Linked DNA regions of Rattus norvegicus. The protein of the gene in region 2 interacts with the protein of the main gene of each other region in a biochemical or structural test. Links are inferred from orthologs where the notes say so. Each region holds a gene or a part of one and is shown on either strand. Other genes may lie near its edges. The genes, in order: Nup62 and Nxf1.

Evidence for each region.
Region 1: the proteins of Nxf1 (region 2) and Nup62 form a complex in vitro, tested with the Homo sapiens proteins (3 studies listed by BioGRID and IntAct). The link is inferred for Rattus norvegicus from reciprocal best matches to the Homo sapiens genes NXF1 and NUP62.

The regions. Positions count from the first base shown.
Region 1 is NC_086019.1:104,432,722-104,441,384, reverse strand, and holds the start of Nup62 (nuclear pore glycoprotein p62), read right to left. Parts: upstream 5,358-8,663; 5' UTR 5,299-5,357; exon of another isoform or gene 3,774-5,298; intron 3,637-3,773; exon of another isoform or gene 2,195-3,636; intron 1-2,194. Other genes in the region: Atf5 (cyclic AMP-dependent transcription factor ATF-5), read left to right, coding at 6,607-6,784, 8,037-8,663. UniProt on the Homo sapiens protein: Essential component of the nuclear pore complex. The N-terminal is probably involved in nucleocytoplasmic transport.
Region 2 is NC_086019.1:215,081,294-215,089,886, forward strand, and holds the start of Nxf1 (nuclear RNA export factor 1), read left to right. Parts: upstream 1-3,269; 5' UTR 3,270-3,337; coding exon 3,338-3,365; intron 3,366-7,938; coding exon 7,939-8,122; intron 8,123-8,316; coding exon 8,317-8,470; intron 8,471-8,593. Other genes in the region: Stx5 (syntaxin-5), read left to right, coding at 659-818.

The DNA.
Region 1 (8,663 bases), about 110 Mb from region 2:
CAAGGCATTCTCTCCCCCTTTCTACCCCATCCACCAGATGAAGACACCTCTACTCTCCCAATCCTAGTCTCAGATGACATCCCTAATCATTTCCATGTCCTGCTTAGGTGTCACAATCAAATACAACTTAGCAAGGAACAGAGAGCATCTCCTGTGACCAACTGCTGTGGATGTACCCCTGCTGAGCTGCAGCCAGAGAGAATACAGACTCCAAACCACCCACATTAAAGCTCCAAGGGGCCAGACACAAAGTGTTGGGTGTATGAGAATTATGGCTTCCTTAAAACCAAACAAACAAACAACCCTACAGAAACACCATAAAAATGTTTTCATTTTAATTCCAGGTGTTAGGATATGGGAGACTGTCCATAGCAGCTATGATTTGGCCTCATGCTCTAGCAGGGGCTTGATTTTGACAGCTGCAGATAGTTTCTGTGACTGCATGTTTAAAATTTTAGGGACTTTTCAGAGGGTACATAAATGCTAGGGCTCCTAGAGGTGTGTTGTTGGTCTCAGTTTGTTAAGTAGTTGTACACAAAGAAGAAACAAGAAGTAGTTCAAACTTGAAACTTCAGACAAAATCTAGACTTCGCCTTCCCAGTCAACTCACAGCTGTCCAGCTCAATCTGCAATCCCTTTTAGGTGTGGGTGTGGGGTGCTCGGCAAGACCCCCGGCCCTCTGTAACAGCTCAATCCTCACGCCTGGGCCCTTTCACCACTAACCCTCCCCTACTTTCCCTGTATCCAGGCTAACAGCACATATCTCCTAGAGGACACGGAATTAGAGAAAAGATGTGGCAGGTTGGGTAATGGCTACCCAGATTCATCTATCAGTGCCTAGGGCCTGTGAACATTATCCCATGGCAAAGCATTCAATGTAGACAAGTTACACGAGGGCTCCTTCAAGACTCAATTACCCTGGATTATCTGTAAGAGCCCAATGCCCAAGCACAGGGCTTCTATAAGAAAAGCAGGAAGCTCAAAGAAAGAAGCCTCAAGCTGGACAGAGGTAGAGACACCTGAAGGGACACAAGGGGCCTCAAAAAGAAGCAGCCTCTAGATACTGGTATGGCTAGAAACCCAGTGCCTTGGGAACTTCAGAATTCTAATAAGGTGGCAAGTGTGTGCTGTCTGAACCTCTTAACCTGTCATAACAGCAAGAGGGAATGAACCAGTACAGGTGACACCCAAAATGTGGGAGCTGTTACAGAAGCATGAGGCCAACTCCGCTGTGATTAAGTTACAACGGTGACTTCTAAAGGTGAGGTTTTGTAAGGGAAGGACAGGGGCTCTAGAGAACTCTGAGCACCTGGCCACGTGGCACTGCCCTTTCCCCAGCTGAACTGGCCTTGGCCCTCCTGTCCTTGTTTGCCAGGACACCCACACCTCCAACCCCCCCCCCCGCCTTAATGACCCAATTTTACTTGTTCCCAAGCACAGTGTGGCAATTATGGTATCAAGTTTTCTGTCCTCACACAAGCAACCGATTCAGAAGTGCTGCTGCCCATGGGGGTGCGGTAGGGCTAGCACAGTGGTGGGGGCTGTATGATTCTGGGAAAGAACAAAGTCCCGACCTTGTCCTCTATGTACTGGAGAAGATAGTCAAGGGCACAGATATCCATCTGTTAGGTAGATCAGAATGCACAAGTATGATAGGACAGAAGAGAACCCATAGCAGATTCTGAGCTCCTAGAAGAGCTTTCCCTCCACACCTTTAGCTTATACCTGCAGCCAAGCATCACACTATGCTGATGACGACTCATCCCTCCCTGTACCAGGTGGGTCCTTTTACTTAGGAAAATGAGAGACACACAATGCCATGTGCACTCACATTGGGAAGACAACTAGCAAGTTGGTGCCCACCCCACCAGGATGTAAGCATGCAAACTCTCGCCTATAAATAGAACCTATAAAGCCCAATCCTTTTCCATCACATCCGGTTGTTTCCGCGATTGAGAAACCAGGGCTTGCTCCATCCAACAGTACAGGTGATAAGAAGTAATTGGGTGGATAAGAACAGAGATATATTGAAGTGTCACAATGAAACCTCTTTGCATACTAACCAAAACAATAACAGCTACAACAAAACCTAGTTAATAGTCCAGGTTAGAGGCCTCACAGAACCCTGGAAGTTAGGCAGGGTGGGAGTTCTGTTCTATTAAAGACACCTGTGGCCATGCATAATTCTTCTTACCCTTTCTAGGCCTCAGTCTTGTCTTCACAAGCAAGCTATGGGCCTTTGGAATGGTAGGCCCCTTCTAAGGACAAAGCCCCAGATTCGCTGTGTTCTGCCCAGGGGGCTCCTATCCAGGTCTTTGCTACCTAGGAGCTGTTGCCAGGTGCTCTGTGGTCCCCAGAGAATTCCCTTACCCCTTCCTACCCATCAGAGCCACGGCTGATGCAACTGCCTGCAACCAGCCGCCTCACTCCCTAGCTCAGGTCCCTCCGCACTGGAAAAGAGTTCCAAGCAGCTCCACCCTTGCTTCTGGCTCCCCAAAGAATTTGTTTGTTTTTTGAGAGTAAAGAAACTAGGCTGCCATTTGAGACTGGGTAAGGGTTATAGACAAAGAATAACACACATGTTGGACACATAGCATGGGCTGGGTACTGGCCAAAGCTCAGGGTGGCAGGCCTCCAAGGATGACCACCAAGCACAACTGAAATTAAGATGGGTTTAGGGGTGGGGGAAGCATCTGGGTGGGACCCCAGGACAGAAAAAGGTTGTGCAGCCTTGGCTGTGACGGAAGCACCACAGGGAAGAGACTATGAGCTGGTACCCACTCTGCACTGTCTTTGAAACCTATCTCATTCCAAAAGTTTACTTTAAAATACTAAATTCAAGGAAAGGAGGACCATAGGCATTGCAACATGGCATACTGTTTCAAAAATAAAAAAGGGCACCTGTGGGGCCCAGGGATGCAGCTCAGGTGGTAGAATGCCTGTCTAGCATGCAATGCATGAAGCCATGGGTCCATTCCACTTCTGTATTAGTGGCAGCCTTTATGCATCAGTATCTAGTCTAAACAGACTCCACACAGAATTAATGCAGCCCATAGCTGGTAAGCTAGGGCTGGAGTCTGAACACATCACATCTCATGGTTACCTGTACTGGCAGCAGATACGAGTGCCCACTCCAGGCTGGAGAGATGTCTCAGCGCTTAAGAACACTGACCCGGGTTGGGGATTTGGCTCAGTGGTAAAGCACTTGCCTAGCAAGCGCAAGGCCCTGGGTTTGGTCCCCAGCTCCGAAAAAAAGAAAAAAGGGGTGGTGGTGGTGGTTGGGGATTTAGCCCAGTGGTAGAGTGCTTGCCTAGCAAGCGTAAGGCCCTGGGTTCGGTCCCCAGCTCTGGGAAAAAAAAAAAAAAAAAAAAAAAACACTGACCCATCCAAAGGTCCTGAGTTCAATTCCCAGCAACCACATGGTGGCTCACAACCATCTGTAATGGGATCTGATACCCTCTTCTGGTGTGTCTGAAGACAGCTACAGTGTACTCATACATAAATCTTTTAAGAGAGCCCACTCCAAGAGTAAAATTGCCAAGGACTTCCTGCTTGTAACTTTCAAAATCAGTTTTCCTCACCTGCTCCAATCTTTTTTCTTTTACAGTACCAGGAATAGAAACCAGGTCCTGGAAAGCAGCACTCTAGCCAATACTCTGCCACCAATCCCCCACCCCCAGCCCAGTATAATTGTTTTTTTAAATCAGGGTCTTTGTAAGTTCCCTAGAAGGCTAAGAACTCACTTTCTAGTCCAGGCAAGCCATGAACTTTTTTTTTTTAAATCACACTCCTAGTCAGCATTCAGACCTGTCACCACACGTGGTGATGGTGAAGGCCAGAGGACAACCGTCTGTCTATAGAGTTGCTTTTGGGTTCTGGGGATGGAACTCAAGAGGGTTGGGTTTAGAGATTACCACCTGAACTATCTCAAAGCAGCTCAGGCCCTGACCTTGACTTCCAATACTCCCGCCTTGGCCTCTTAAGTAGGTAAGATACCAGGCCTGGCCTTTGAGCTTTTTCTTTTTAAAAACACACTGAGGCCAGCCAGTATGACCTTGAATTCATGATTCCTTCTGCTTCCATCTTCCAAATGCTGGGAATATAGACAACTACCAAGCACCGTCCATGTGGTGCTGGGTGCTAAGGTTCTTGTGTGCAACAGGCAAGCACTCTTGAGTTCCATCTCCACCCATTCAGTCTCTCAGCTGCTACAAATATGATAGGCTGACTGGCTTCCACATGGAATGACGGCTATACTCGAACACGGGGCGGAAAACCGCCCCATCATCCTGGGGGACAGACAGGATCAAGAAACAATTTATCTAGTGGGGTCAGCAAGAGAGCAAGGACTGCAAGGAAGTCAGAGCAAGGGGCAAAACCTAAGAGGGTGGCATGATGAGCACAGCATGTAGCAAGTAGGGATGGCTGGAAACAGAAACCTTGGAGGTGGGACACACAGAATGATCATATGGATATGTTGGCTGGCTAAGAATCGGGGGTAGGGAGATAAAAAGGGGTGAAATCAGGCCCCCTCCCAGGGGTGGGGGCTTAATCTAAAAGAAAATAAAACGATTTTAGTAGTAGATGAAATGACTCAGTGGAGAAAGGCTGCCAAACAATCTGACCTGAGTTCCATCCCTGGGACCCTACTATATAGTAGGAGAACCAACTCCTGCTAGCTCTTCTTTGACCACCACATACATACACAATAAACGTTAAAACAAACAAGAAGGTTTAAGAGTCCTGATTAGGACTCCGTGGCCTACTTTCCATAGCTGGTATATTTGTGCGTATATCTATAAACAGCGACATCTCGCTGTTGCTCCCTTGAACTCGTCTATGAAGCCTAAGCTAGCTTGAACTCGCCATTCCGCGATGAGCTTAACCCACGAGGTCTCTCGGAGCGACATCGGTTTTAGGGACTGGTGGCAAATTTGTGAAGCAGGGATAGATAACGGGATGAGCTGGTTACGGGTGTAAGAGAGATCGAATAGGATCCAACCGATACAGGAAACAGAGTCCGGGCCCCCAGCCTGAAGCAGTGAGTGAAGGGTCAGGGCGACATGGCGGGCCCGGGGTCGCCACCGCCCCGTCGGGGCCCCGCGAGGGCGGAGCGCGGAGGGATCCAGGCATCCCGCGCTGCGCCGCCCCCGGTATATTTGTTCCCAGGCCCCGGGGCCGCCTCATTTTCAACCCTCTCAGCAGTCTCCCTTAACGCTCCTGCCACGCCGCCTCCGCCCGTGCAATGGCTCTGTAGCCGCGATCTCGTCGTGTCCCCCGCCCCGTTTCCGCGCTCACCGCGACTTCACTCTCTGCTCACACCGACTCTTCAACTGAGGCCGCCGCCGCCGTTGCCTCCTCTCCTTTTCGCAGCCATGGAGTGAGTAACCGCTCGCCCCTCCCTCTCCAACCGCCTTTCCCGCCCTTTCACAGAGCTCGCGGGGCTTCACGGGTCAGCCTCGTGGGGAGGGGGTGGGGAAGACGATATGAGGAACCACGGTCGCGCAGGCGCAGAAGAGGGAAGTCGGTGGCCGGCGCATCCGCTGAGCAAGCGCACTAGGCTCCAGGCGTGGGGGAGGGTGTGCTTCCGCAGAGTCTGGGGGCTTTTAAGGTCGGTTCGCGCGCCATTGCGCCTGCGCACTAATTCACAGACCCTCTTCCTCCTTTCCCCTCAGAGGATACGAACCCACACTCTATTGCGCATGCGCATTACCTTATTCCCGGCCTGAACTACGGAGGGCGGCCGGTAATTGGCTAAACACACGCACTGGTCCCCCCAGGAGGGTAGTGGCGTAACAATGAATCCGGTCCAGGGTCTGAGCTTTCGTCTTGCGGCTTAGCGAGCAATCAGCGAGGAAGGGTGGAGTTCCTCGAGGCTCTGACACTGGTCCAACTTCCCTCCAATCAGGCACCTGCTGGGGCGGGGACTGGCTTAGATTGACAGGGAAGGCTAAAGAACACCTTTAAGAAAGACTTGGAGCTAGAACCAAGGGGCGGGGCCTCTAGGGACTTGCTAGTTGGGGGCGGGAACTGACTTGACAGACAGGAGTGTGGGCGGGGCTTCCCGTAGAATCTGTAGAAGTCACCTAAAACTTTTAAGGGAAGAGTGGGATTTGTGTGTGTAACACTGATGAAGGGCCCAAGGCATGGCAGAATTATTCTGGGAACCCCTGTGAACTCTAAAGGGCGTATAGTCTAAAGAAAATATTGATGCGGAAGGGGCACGGCTAGAAGAAAATAAAATTACCTTGGGATTGAATTTTTTTACGAAGAGCAATAAGATGAGGTAGGTAGGAGGGGCTGGAAGTAATTCCCCTGGGAGAACACTAGGTTTCTGTGTTGAGGGAGGAGATGGGGCTGGGGAGTTTCCAAAAGTTGCCTTGGGAATGTATGGAGCTCTGGAATTTGCAGAAAGAAGAAAAGTGTGGGTAGCTTGTGGGTCAAGCAGCTTTGACTCAACCCCACCCACGCCACCTTGTCTTCCTCACAGGCCCTCCACCTTCGCCTTGGTGCCTGTCTTCACCCAGCTGAACAATCTTCCACGCTGCCTCCCAGTTGTTGGTGCAGCCTCCATTGCCATCGCAGCCCTGCACCTGTGCCTCAGCCATGTCACTCCTGGCGACCCTGGGACTGGAGCTGGACAGGGCCCTGCTCCCAGCTAGCGGGCTGGGCTGGCTCGTAGACTATGGGAAACTCCCCCTGGCCCCTGCCCCCCTGGGCCCCTATGAGGTCCTTGGGGGTGCCCTGGAGGGCGGGCTTCCAGGGGGGGGAGAGCCCCTGGCAGGTAAGAAACAGGTGAAAAAGAGAGGTGGGTTAAGGTGGCGGGGTGTGGAAGGACAGAAAAGGAAGGATTTATTCATTCACAAGATCAGTACAGAGGGCCTGCAGTGTGCCCAGCCCTGTTCTTCATGTGCAAGGTGCAGAGCAAGGGATACCAAAGCTCGTGGAAGCATCAGGAGACAGAGGTGGGAAGCCAAAGCTTAGCTGAAAGGAAGACATGGTTGAGAAGTCAGCCTTCTCTAAGTAGACAACCTCTGGATTGAGGGCTAAGGGATGGGCAAAGGGAGCCATGATAAGTCCTGAGGGGAGCGCTATCTCAGAGATTCTGAGGCAGGCAGTCAACAGATGGTTGTCCTAGACTGTGCCTGGTGGCTTATGTCCATAACTTCCCCTGTTAGAGGCTTCTCATCCTCTTGAGCCCAGGCCAACCTAGGCAGCCTGGTAAGAACATAGTTGTCAAACATCTGAGAAACACAAAAGGAGAGCAAATAAAGATGGAGAGAGTCACGCCCACACACGCAAACACACAGAGGGGGGAGGGAGGAGAGAAAGTGTGTGAGTATAATCCCAGCACTCTGGGAGAGAGTCAGAAGTTTAAGGGTTGTCCTCAGCTACAGACTACAGAACAGGTCCAAGGCTATCCTAGTCTACACAAGACTCTGTCGACAATAGATAAGTAAACAAGTGAGGGAAAGAGAGGAGACACTAGTGTGGGGTGCAGTCGACCAACCTGGTCAAGGAGAAGGATTATAGAGATGGGAGCTGACCTTCGTCGGGTGGGCCATTAGTTGGGCGAGTGCTTCACTGAGTGGCTGACTGATTATTTCATCGGTTAGTTGGTCAATTAATCGGTTGGTTGACTGATTTGAATCATTGGTTGGCTTGTTCATTGATTGGCTAATGAGTTGATTAGTTTATTAGCAGGTGGCCTGGTGAACTGATTGGATGATTGGCTGGCTGTCTTGTTCATTGATTAATGATTTGTTGGGTGGTTGGCTGATGAACTAGGTATGATTGGCTGGCTGGCTGGCTGGTTGGTTAGTTCATTAGTTAGTGGCTTGATGGGTAAACTAGCTAGCTGGTTGGTTGATTGGTTGATTAGTTTCTTCCCTAACTCACTGGTTGCTGACAGGTCTATAGATTGGATGGTTGGCTGGCTGGTCACTTGTCACATTGAGTGAATGGGGCATGAATGAACACCAAGTGGATAAAGCACAGACCTTAGAGATTTTTATGTCCTCCCCCCACATCCTCAGGTGACGGCTTCTCTGATTGGATGACCGAGCGGGTGGACTTCACAGCCCTCCTTCCTCTGGAGGCCCCTCTGCCCCCAGGCACTCTCCCCCCACCCTCCCCTGCCCCCCCTGACCTGGAAGCCATGGCATCCCTACTCAAGAAGGAGCTAGAACAGATGGAAGACTTCTTCCTTGATGCCCCACTCCTTCCACCGCCCTCCCCACCTCCACCCCCACCCCCAGCACCCTCTCTGCCCCTGCCCTTACCCTTGCCCACCTTTGATCTCCCGCAGCCTCCTACCCTGGATACCCTGGACTTGCTAGCTGTTTACTGCCGCAGTGAGGCTGGGCCAGGGGATTCAGGCTTGACAACCCTGCCTGTCCCCCAGCAGCCTCCTCCTCTGGCCCCTCTGCCTTCACCCTCCCGACCAGCCCCCTATCCTAGTCCTGCCAGCACCCGAGGGGACCGCAAGCAAAAGAAGAGAGACCAGAATAAGTCAGCTGCTCTCAGGTACCGCCAGAGGAAGCGGGCAGAGGGCGAGGCCCTGGAGGGCGAGTGCCAAGGGCTAGAGGCGCGGAATCGGGAGCTGAGGGAGAGGGCAGAGTCAGTGGAACGGGAGATCCAGTATGTGAAGGATCTGCTAATTG
Region 2 (8,593 bases):
AAAAAAAAGCAGGAAATGTTTATGAGTAAAACTTACAGCATTTGGGGTACTCATATAGATTGGAGGCTCATTTAACTCACTGAAAATTAAAACCTCATGAGGAGCTGGAGAGATGGCTCAGTGATTAAGAGCACTGACTGCTCTTCCAGAGGTCCTGAGTTCAATTCCCAGCAACCACATGGTGGCTCTCAACCATCTGTAATGGGATCTCCTACCCTCTTCTGGTGTGGCTGAAGACAGTGACAGTGTACTCACATACATAAAATAAATAAGTCTTTAAATAAAAAAAAAAAACAGATAAATAAGAAATCTCATGAAAGGAGTAGGGTTTATATCATTTATCTCATTTTTTAGATGTGGAAAATAAGACTGGTTAAATAATTCAATCATAAGCTAATAACTGGCAGGACACTTTAAAGCTAGAATCAAACATGATCTACTACCCTCAAAAAACTTGATATGTGTGTGTGTGTGTGTGTGTGTATGTATGTATGTATGTATGTATGTATGTGTATACACACACACACACACACACAGTTAACGTAGTATCAAATACTTTTTACTTCTACATATTGTGATCAGCTTCCCATATCAATAAATGGATGTCTTTAACCTTCTTCAACCCAGTGTTCCTCTCTGTTTTATCTCCTGTTTCCAGGATTGACGAGAATGTGCTTGGAGCCCAGCTGGATGTTGAGGCCGCCCATTCAGAGATCCTCAAGTACTTCCAGTCAGTCACCTCCAATCGGTGGCTCATGGTCAAAATCTTCCTCATCCTCATTGTCTTCTTCATCATCTTTGTGGTCTTCCTTGCCTGAACCCTCCTCCCTCATTCTGAGCCACTCCATGGAGGGCCTGGAACCCTTCTGGAAGGACAGGTGGCCACTATTGCCACTGAGCCTGTGCAGGGTAGTTGGGAGAAAGGCCATTTCCTTGGAACTGCTAAGAATGGCCAGTGTCCCTGATTCCCCACCCTTGTCTCTGGCCACTCTGTCCTACCCTCAGGCCCATGAAACACACTGGTTCTGGATTTGGCCTCTGCTGTGAAGTGGCAGGGAACAGAAGCCAGCTAGGGCCAGTGGGGAGGTTGTCTCTACCATGAGATTTTTATAAACCCAGACCAGCCTCCCCTAAAGGTAACTGGCAGCAAGAGGAAACAATGCCCTTCCTTGCCTTCTGGAGAGTGAGGTGAGGAAGTAAAACTATCCCAGGGACCAACTTAATCATCTGGGTCATCTAGAACTTGACTGCCACCTTCTCCTCACCATGTGAGGTGGGGGGGGCTCTGAGCCCTACAGTTGCACAAACCTGACTTTGGCTACTGGTGACTCTCAATCTGCCAAACATGCTGCAGCCTGTTTCCTCCCAATTACAGCAAGACTGTCAGCCTCACTAGTGATGTTGTCGTTTCTGGGTGGGATCGTCGTGGGCTTCCGCAGCCAGCAAACCACTGCTTAATACCAGAACCAAAAGGGTTAAGTTGGTGGCTTTGACAGCCCCCATTGATAGGCAGAGCAGCTTTGGAGCTCTGTACCCACAACTCCCTCTTAAAAGGGAGTGGCCAAGTAACAACAGCACTAAATTAGAATTTTCCTTTGAACTGGAGCTAAGTGGACTCATTATTGGGTGTCAACTTCTAGGGCTGTCCCAAACAGTTTGAGCCTGTTTAACCTGTATCTTCAAATCACCTGGTCCTGATTTTTGAACTGAGTGAAGCAAGAGCTCTGCTGCTGGGTGAAGAGCATTTGTGCCCAGCTCCAATTTGTACCCAGCTCTTTGGCACCTTCTAAGATCCTGAGCAAAACCACTGCAAAATGGAGGTGACCCACCTAACACAGACCCTCAAGGGAGATTAATGAGTTGTTTTGTCTTTCTGATCTGTGTTAAAGTCATGCTCCGTGCCTACCAGTGCCCCATCTGATTCCCCTCCTACAGCAGCATCTGGGTCCAAGGAATGGAGGAGAGTCCTAGTCACACCAAAGGTTTACTAGAAGAGCTCTTGGGTTTGCCATCTAAAAATTTCAACCAGCACTTGGGAGTTAGAAGCAAGTGGATCTCTTTTATTATTATTATTATTATTATTTTTTTTTTTTTTTTTTTATTCCGGAGCTGGGGACTGAACCCAGGGCCTTGTGCTTGCTAGGCAAGCGCTCTACCACTGAGCTAAATCCCCAACCTCGCAAGTGGATCTCTTGAGTTTGAGGCCAACTTGGTCTACAAAGCAAGTTTCAGGACAGCCAGAATTATACAGAAACCCTGTCTCAAACAAAACCACTCAATACTAGCAACTTTCCCTACCTACCTAGCTAACCTGGGTTTTACCAATTAGGCTTCAGCATGATGGCCAGGGCCTTGGGGGTGAAGATCATAGCTCACTAGATTACTAATTTTGTTTTGAGACCGTCTATGTAGCCTTCGCTATCTCTGTACTGGCTATGTCGACAAAAATACTGGTACTAAGACTAAAGCTTTTTTTTTTTTTTTTTTTTTGAGGCAGGGCCTCTACAAGCTCTGGCTATTCTAGAAATTTCTATAGAGCTGAGACTGGCCTCAAATTTAAAGATCCACCTGCCTCTGCCTTCCAAATACGGGTTTAAAGACCTGCGCCACTACAGCTCGCCTGACGCTTTAATTAGGCAATTTGTAGAAGACCTACAAGGGAACAGGACAGGATTTCGCTTAATTCACACTTGGGTTTCACAATGGGCATGATACTGTGCCAGGCACGCTGGAGGAAGAAAAGTTGCGCATAAGTTAAGGTTCCTGTTCCAGTGGGGCTTACATTCCAATTTTCTATTTCGTCATAATCCGTCGTAGAGGCGAGAAAGGCTGGGAGGGCATAAGCCGGCGGCTGGCAAGGAACTGCGCTGCGACTTACACGCTGCCGGGATCCCACCTGCGTGGACTGTGATCCGTTACTCCCGTTCAGAGGCCAGGTCTCCATTCTTCTGTGTAGCTCTCGTCCCTGCTCCTGAGTTCAGGGCTAAAGCAGACCGCTCAGCTCCAGCGCAAACCTCAGCGCTGCGGGCCAGCGGAGAAGTAGGAAGGCGGGGCCGACCTACAAGCCATCGCGCCCCGAGCTCCGGCCGTGGGCGGGCCTCGGAGGGCCTGGCCACGCCTCCGAGCGGCCGCCCTGCTTCTGCGCAGGCTCAGAGAGCGCGTTCCTGCCCCGCGGCACCGCCCACATCCTGGGGACGTCGGCTGCGCGCGACGTGCTTCGCCGGATAAATGCGGTGGCGCCGGTCGTAGGAGAGCTTCTGTCCTGAGCGCCAAGGCGTCCGGGTGTTTGGTGGCGTCAGGTTCTGCGCCTGAGCCCGCCCCTGTACCTGCCTGTGCCATGGCGGACGAAGGGAAGTCATACAACGGTTAGTGCGGGGCCTCGGGCCGGGAGGCGACGCGGTGGGTCAGGGTGGGCGGCCCCGGCCTAGGCCTCAGCCCGGGGGCGGGAGGCCGCGAGGAGCCCTACGTCCGTAGGTAGCGGTGGCCGCGCGGGCAGGGGGCGCGGGACGCCGCGGGACCCGGGGACTCCAGAGTCGCCCGGATTCTGGCGTTGGAGGACCTGTGGCTCAGGGGTGAGGTGACAAGATTTCCTTTCAACTTTGAGGGTGGTTGATGCCTGTCAGTTCAGTTTGGCAGCCGGACTCTTCCTTTAAATGTGAGTCAGTAGTCAGGCTACCCTGGTGCCCTATTTTTTTTTTTTTTTTAAATACGATCAGTCTGTTCTTGCAGCTTGCTGCTTATTGTTTACCCAGTTTTCTAGCCCGCACACCTACCCTGACTTGTTAATTCATTGTGGTGGTTAGGACAGTATGACAGCTGAGGTTTGAATCTGAAGTTGGCTGTGCTAACCCCGAGTGAGTTAAACTTTGAGGCCTTGTTTTCCATCTCTTTCATGTGGGTACTTGTCTCCCGTGTCCCGTGTGTGTGTGTGTGTGTGTGTGTGTGTGTGTGTGTGTGTGTGTGTGTGTGTGTGTGTGAGAGAGAGAGAGAGAGAGAGAGAGAGAGAGAGAGAGAGAGAGAGAGATCATTTTATTAAGTGCCTCAAACACAGTGACTGGAGTGGGGATTTTTCAGTGAACCGTACTTGGACTGTCTCTTTAATGTATTCCTTTTTACTAGGGTCACTTGATATTAGGTATTAGATACTAGAAATTAGGTAGATTTCTTTGAAAGTTATGAATCTTTTTTTGTGCTTGTGTGGTGCTGATGACTTATCTATGCCTGAAAAATCTCTACCCAATGACCTTTTATTTTAATTCAAATATAATTGATCTCCTTCCTCCAGCCACTCACCTGTCATCCACTCCTCTCGCCAAATTCATGCAACTTGCTGAGTTCATTTAGTGTTATGTATTAGTTTGTAAAGCATACCATTTGGGATTGGCTAGCCATTTGGGGAGTTTGTCCCTTGGAAAGGCTAATTCTCCCTTATAGGGTCAGCCCAGGCTGGCTTCAGTCAGTCTTACTGTGTCAGCTTCCCAAGCTCAGCATTGCAGGCAGGCATGTGCCACCCACCATGCCTGCCTCACAGATGTTTACGGTTTACTTTTTTTTTTTTTTTTTTTTTTTTTTTGGTTCTAGGGTTGAACTTAAGGTCTGACAAAAGGTAAATAAATAGAACCAAGTGTAGTAGTACATTGTTTAAGGTAAGAGGATCAGAGAGGTTCAAGGTCATCCTCCACTACATACATAGTGTGCCCGGCTTTCTGTTCTCCCACAGAGCTATATTCCCATCCCTTGTTATTTTTTTGAGATGGTTTGCCAAGTTGCCCAGACTGACTTGAAGTTTTGAATTCTGCCTCAGCCTCAGTCTGGGTGATCTTTTTGAGTGTGGAAGGATAGACAAGCACTTTATCAACTAATCAGTATCCTTAGCCCTCCTTTTATTCGTTTTGTCTATATATAGGCAGACCAAACACTAAGAGAAACAGGGTTTCAATCCCAGTCTGGCCTTAAACTCTGTGTAGCTCAGATCCTCTTCCCTTAAACGGTGTACTACTACACTTGGTTCTATTTATTTATTTATTTATGTATTTGTTTACTGAAACAGTGTCTCAAAGTGTAGTTCTGAATGATCTAGAACACACTGAAAAGACCAGGCTGGCTTTCAGAACTCTGCCACTGTCTGGAATTAAGTTGTGGGTCACAATGTTTGGCTTCTTTCCCTTTTTTTTTTTTTTTTTTTTCTTTTTGGTTCTTTTTTTTCGGAGCTGGGGACCGAACCCAGGGCCTTACGCTTCCTAGGTAAGCGCTCTACGACTGAGCTAAATCCCCAGCCCCGCTTCTTTCCCTTTTTAAGGTATACTCTTAGCTGATCTGGAACTTGGATTCCTCCTGCTTCAAACACTAGTTATATTGGAGGACTCTAATGTGGAACCTGCACCAGACCCTGAATCTAGAAGTTCCTTGAGGTGTTTTTTTTTTTCCCCAAAGAAACTAGCATTTCCTAAATTCAGAGTGCAGAAGATGGTAGTTGTTTTTAAGAGACTTTACATCATATTTGTAAGAATTCTTTATTTTTCGAGAATCTCATGTAGCCCAGGATGGCTTTGAAAACTTTGTGTAATTGAAGCCTCCCCTTCCCAATTGCCAGGATTACAGGTGTTGGCCACAACATCTGGCTCTGTAACCATCAATTGTACAGCAAGTGGCAGATTTCACGTGGTTTTTCAGGGGTCTGGTTAGATTTTGGGGTTGCTCACACTTCCACATTCTACTCTCTGTAGGAACTGGTTTCTGGGTATTTTTGTTTTTCTTTTTTCTTTCTTTCTTTTTTTTTTTTCCTTTTCTTTTTTTCAGAACTGGGGACCGAACCCAGGGCCTTGCGCTTGATAGGCAAGCGCTCTACCACTGAGCTAAATCCCCAACCCCTTTTTTCTTTAAATTCTAAATTTTCTGGCAATTTTATACATATAATACACAGTGTATTGTGATTGTGTGCCCCTTTCATTACTCTTTTGTTTTTACTTATTTACTTTGTTTACTTACTTTATTTAATGTATAAGTGCTCTGGTGCATGTACACCTGCATGCCAGAAGGGGGCATCAGATTCCTTTATAGATAATCTTGAACCACTGTGGGATTTGAACTCAGGACCTCTGTAAGAGCAGCCAGTGCTCTAAACCGTTGAGCCATCTCTCTAGCCCTACTCTTTTTTTTTTTTTTTAAAGATTTATTTATTTTATGTATATGAGCACACTGTTGCTGACACACCAGAAGAGGTCATTGGATCCAATTAAGGGTGGTTGTGAGCCACCATGTGGTTGCTGGGAATTGAAGTCAGGACCTCTGGGAAAGCAGCCAGTGCTCTTAAGCCCTGAGCCATCTCTCAGCTCCCTACTCTTTGTTTTTAAGAGTTTATTTTTTTTCTGTGTCTGAGTATTTTGCCTATGTGTTTATTTTTCTATCATGTGTATGTCTGGTGCCTGCAGAGGCTGGAAGAGGACATTGGCTTCCCTGGAGTTAACTACAGAGGCCACTTCCATGCAGATATCAGAGCCCTTGACAAAGGAAAGATCTCTATAGGACATCAACATCAGGAACAAGTTATTGGAAAACCTAGGAATATTGAAAAATAAAAGGGTCAAGCATATACTCACGGAGACTCATTGCTTAAGAACACTTTCCAGAATACTAGCTTTGATTCTCAGCACCTACACTACAGTGCACAGCTGTTAGCTACTGTGTGGGTGCTGGAAGCCCATTCTGGGTCCTTTAGAAGAGCAGCTAGTGCTCTAATCATTGAGTGATTTTTTTCCCCCCCAGCCTCTAACCTACTGAGTTTAGTTAAGGTTGTTCATATGAACTTCTGGGGAGGCTCTTCCCTTCTGCCTTTTTTTTTTTTTTTCTTTTTCTTTTTCTTTTTTTTCGGAGCTGGGGACCGAACCCAGGGCCTTTTGCTTGCTAGACAAGCGCTCTACCACTGAGCTAAATGCCCACCCCGCAGCTAGTTTTCTTTTTTTTTTTTTTTTCCAGAGCTGGGGACCGAACCCAGGGCCTTGCGCTCCTAGGCAAGCGCTCTACCACTGAGCTAAATCCCCAACCCCCGCAGCTAGTTTTCTTAAGAACACTATTCCTAGCCCAAACACAGAGGCTTCCCAGAAGCTAATGGGAGCAGATGTGGAAAAAGAGAAACACTGGATCTGGGGGGAGAAAGGAGTTGGGTGGGGGAAGACTGGGAGAAGTGGAGGGAGGAGAAGCCCCAGTCAGAATATATTGTATAAAAAAAGAGGGGCTGGGGATTTAGCTCAGTGGTAGAGCGCTTACCTAGGAAGCGCAAGGCCCTGGGTTCGGTCCCCAGCTCCGAAAAAAAGAACCAAAAAAAAAAAAAAAAAAAAGAATAAGTAGGGGCTGAAGAGATGGCTCTGCTCTTCCAGAGGTCCTGAGTTCAATTCCCAGCACCAACATGGTGGCTCACAACCATCTGTAATGGGCATCTGATGTCCTCTTCTGGTGTATCTGAAGACAGCAACAGTATATTCACATATATAAAATAAATAAGTCTTTTTTTTTTAAAGGGATAAATAAAAAAAAAAAGGCATCTTACAGGGGGTGGTGGCTCATTTAATCCCAGCACCTGGGGAGGTAGAGGCAGGTGAATCTACAAGGCCAACTTGGTCTACAGTTAGTTCTAGGATAGCCAGAGCTACACAGAGAAACCCTGTGATGGCAGTGTGGTAAGTTATTTCTCCAGTGCCCTGAGGTACATTCTTGACCCTTTTCCAACATCCCTATAGTTTCCAATAACTTGTTCATGATATTGATGTCCTAGAGAAAGTTCTTTGCTCTGGCTAGGGCATAGGCATCTCTATGGAGGAAGCCTTTGTAGTTAAAATCTGTTTTTTCTAAGAGTACAGAGTACTAGAAACTGGTGGTTACACCAAGGTAACTAGGACCCCTCATATATTTACTAATTTCTGTGTCTGTTTCCATCTCCAGAACATGATGACCGTGTTAGTTTCCCACAAAGAAGAAAGAAAGGTCGGGGGCCTTTCCGATGGAAGTGTGGTGAGGGGAATCGTAGGTCTGGAAGAGGTGGTTCTGGTATACGGTCTTCCCGGTTTGAGGAAGATGATGGAGATGTGGCAATGAATGATCCCCAGGATGGCCCCCGAGTGAGATAGTAAGTGAATAATTGGTCTGCTTTGAATAGTGACCCACTGAATTATGTAGACCTGTTATTTATTGTCTTTGTCGTTTCTCGTCTCACCTTGTAAAGTGATACTTGACAGAATCAGTTTAGTAGCTGTAGTTTCCCTAGCAGGACTGGTTCATCTTCCCTAGTGTTTATGGAAATGTAATTCTGCTTCCCAACAGCAACCCCTATACCAGCCGACCTAACCGTCGGAGAGATACTTGGCATGATCGAGATCGGATTCATGTTACTGTACGGAGAGACAGAGCTCCTCAAGAAAGAGGAGGTGCTGGCACCAGTCAAGATGGGACCACCAAGAACTGGTTCAAGATTACAGTGAGTACTTGGATGAGTAAGGTGGTTCAGAAAACAGGACTGGACTCAGTCAGAGTGTTTTGACACCTGCCTCTAGCTCCTCAAATGTGTTTTCTCTAATGTTTACTCACTCAACAGTGAAGT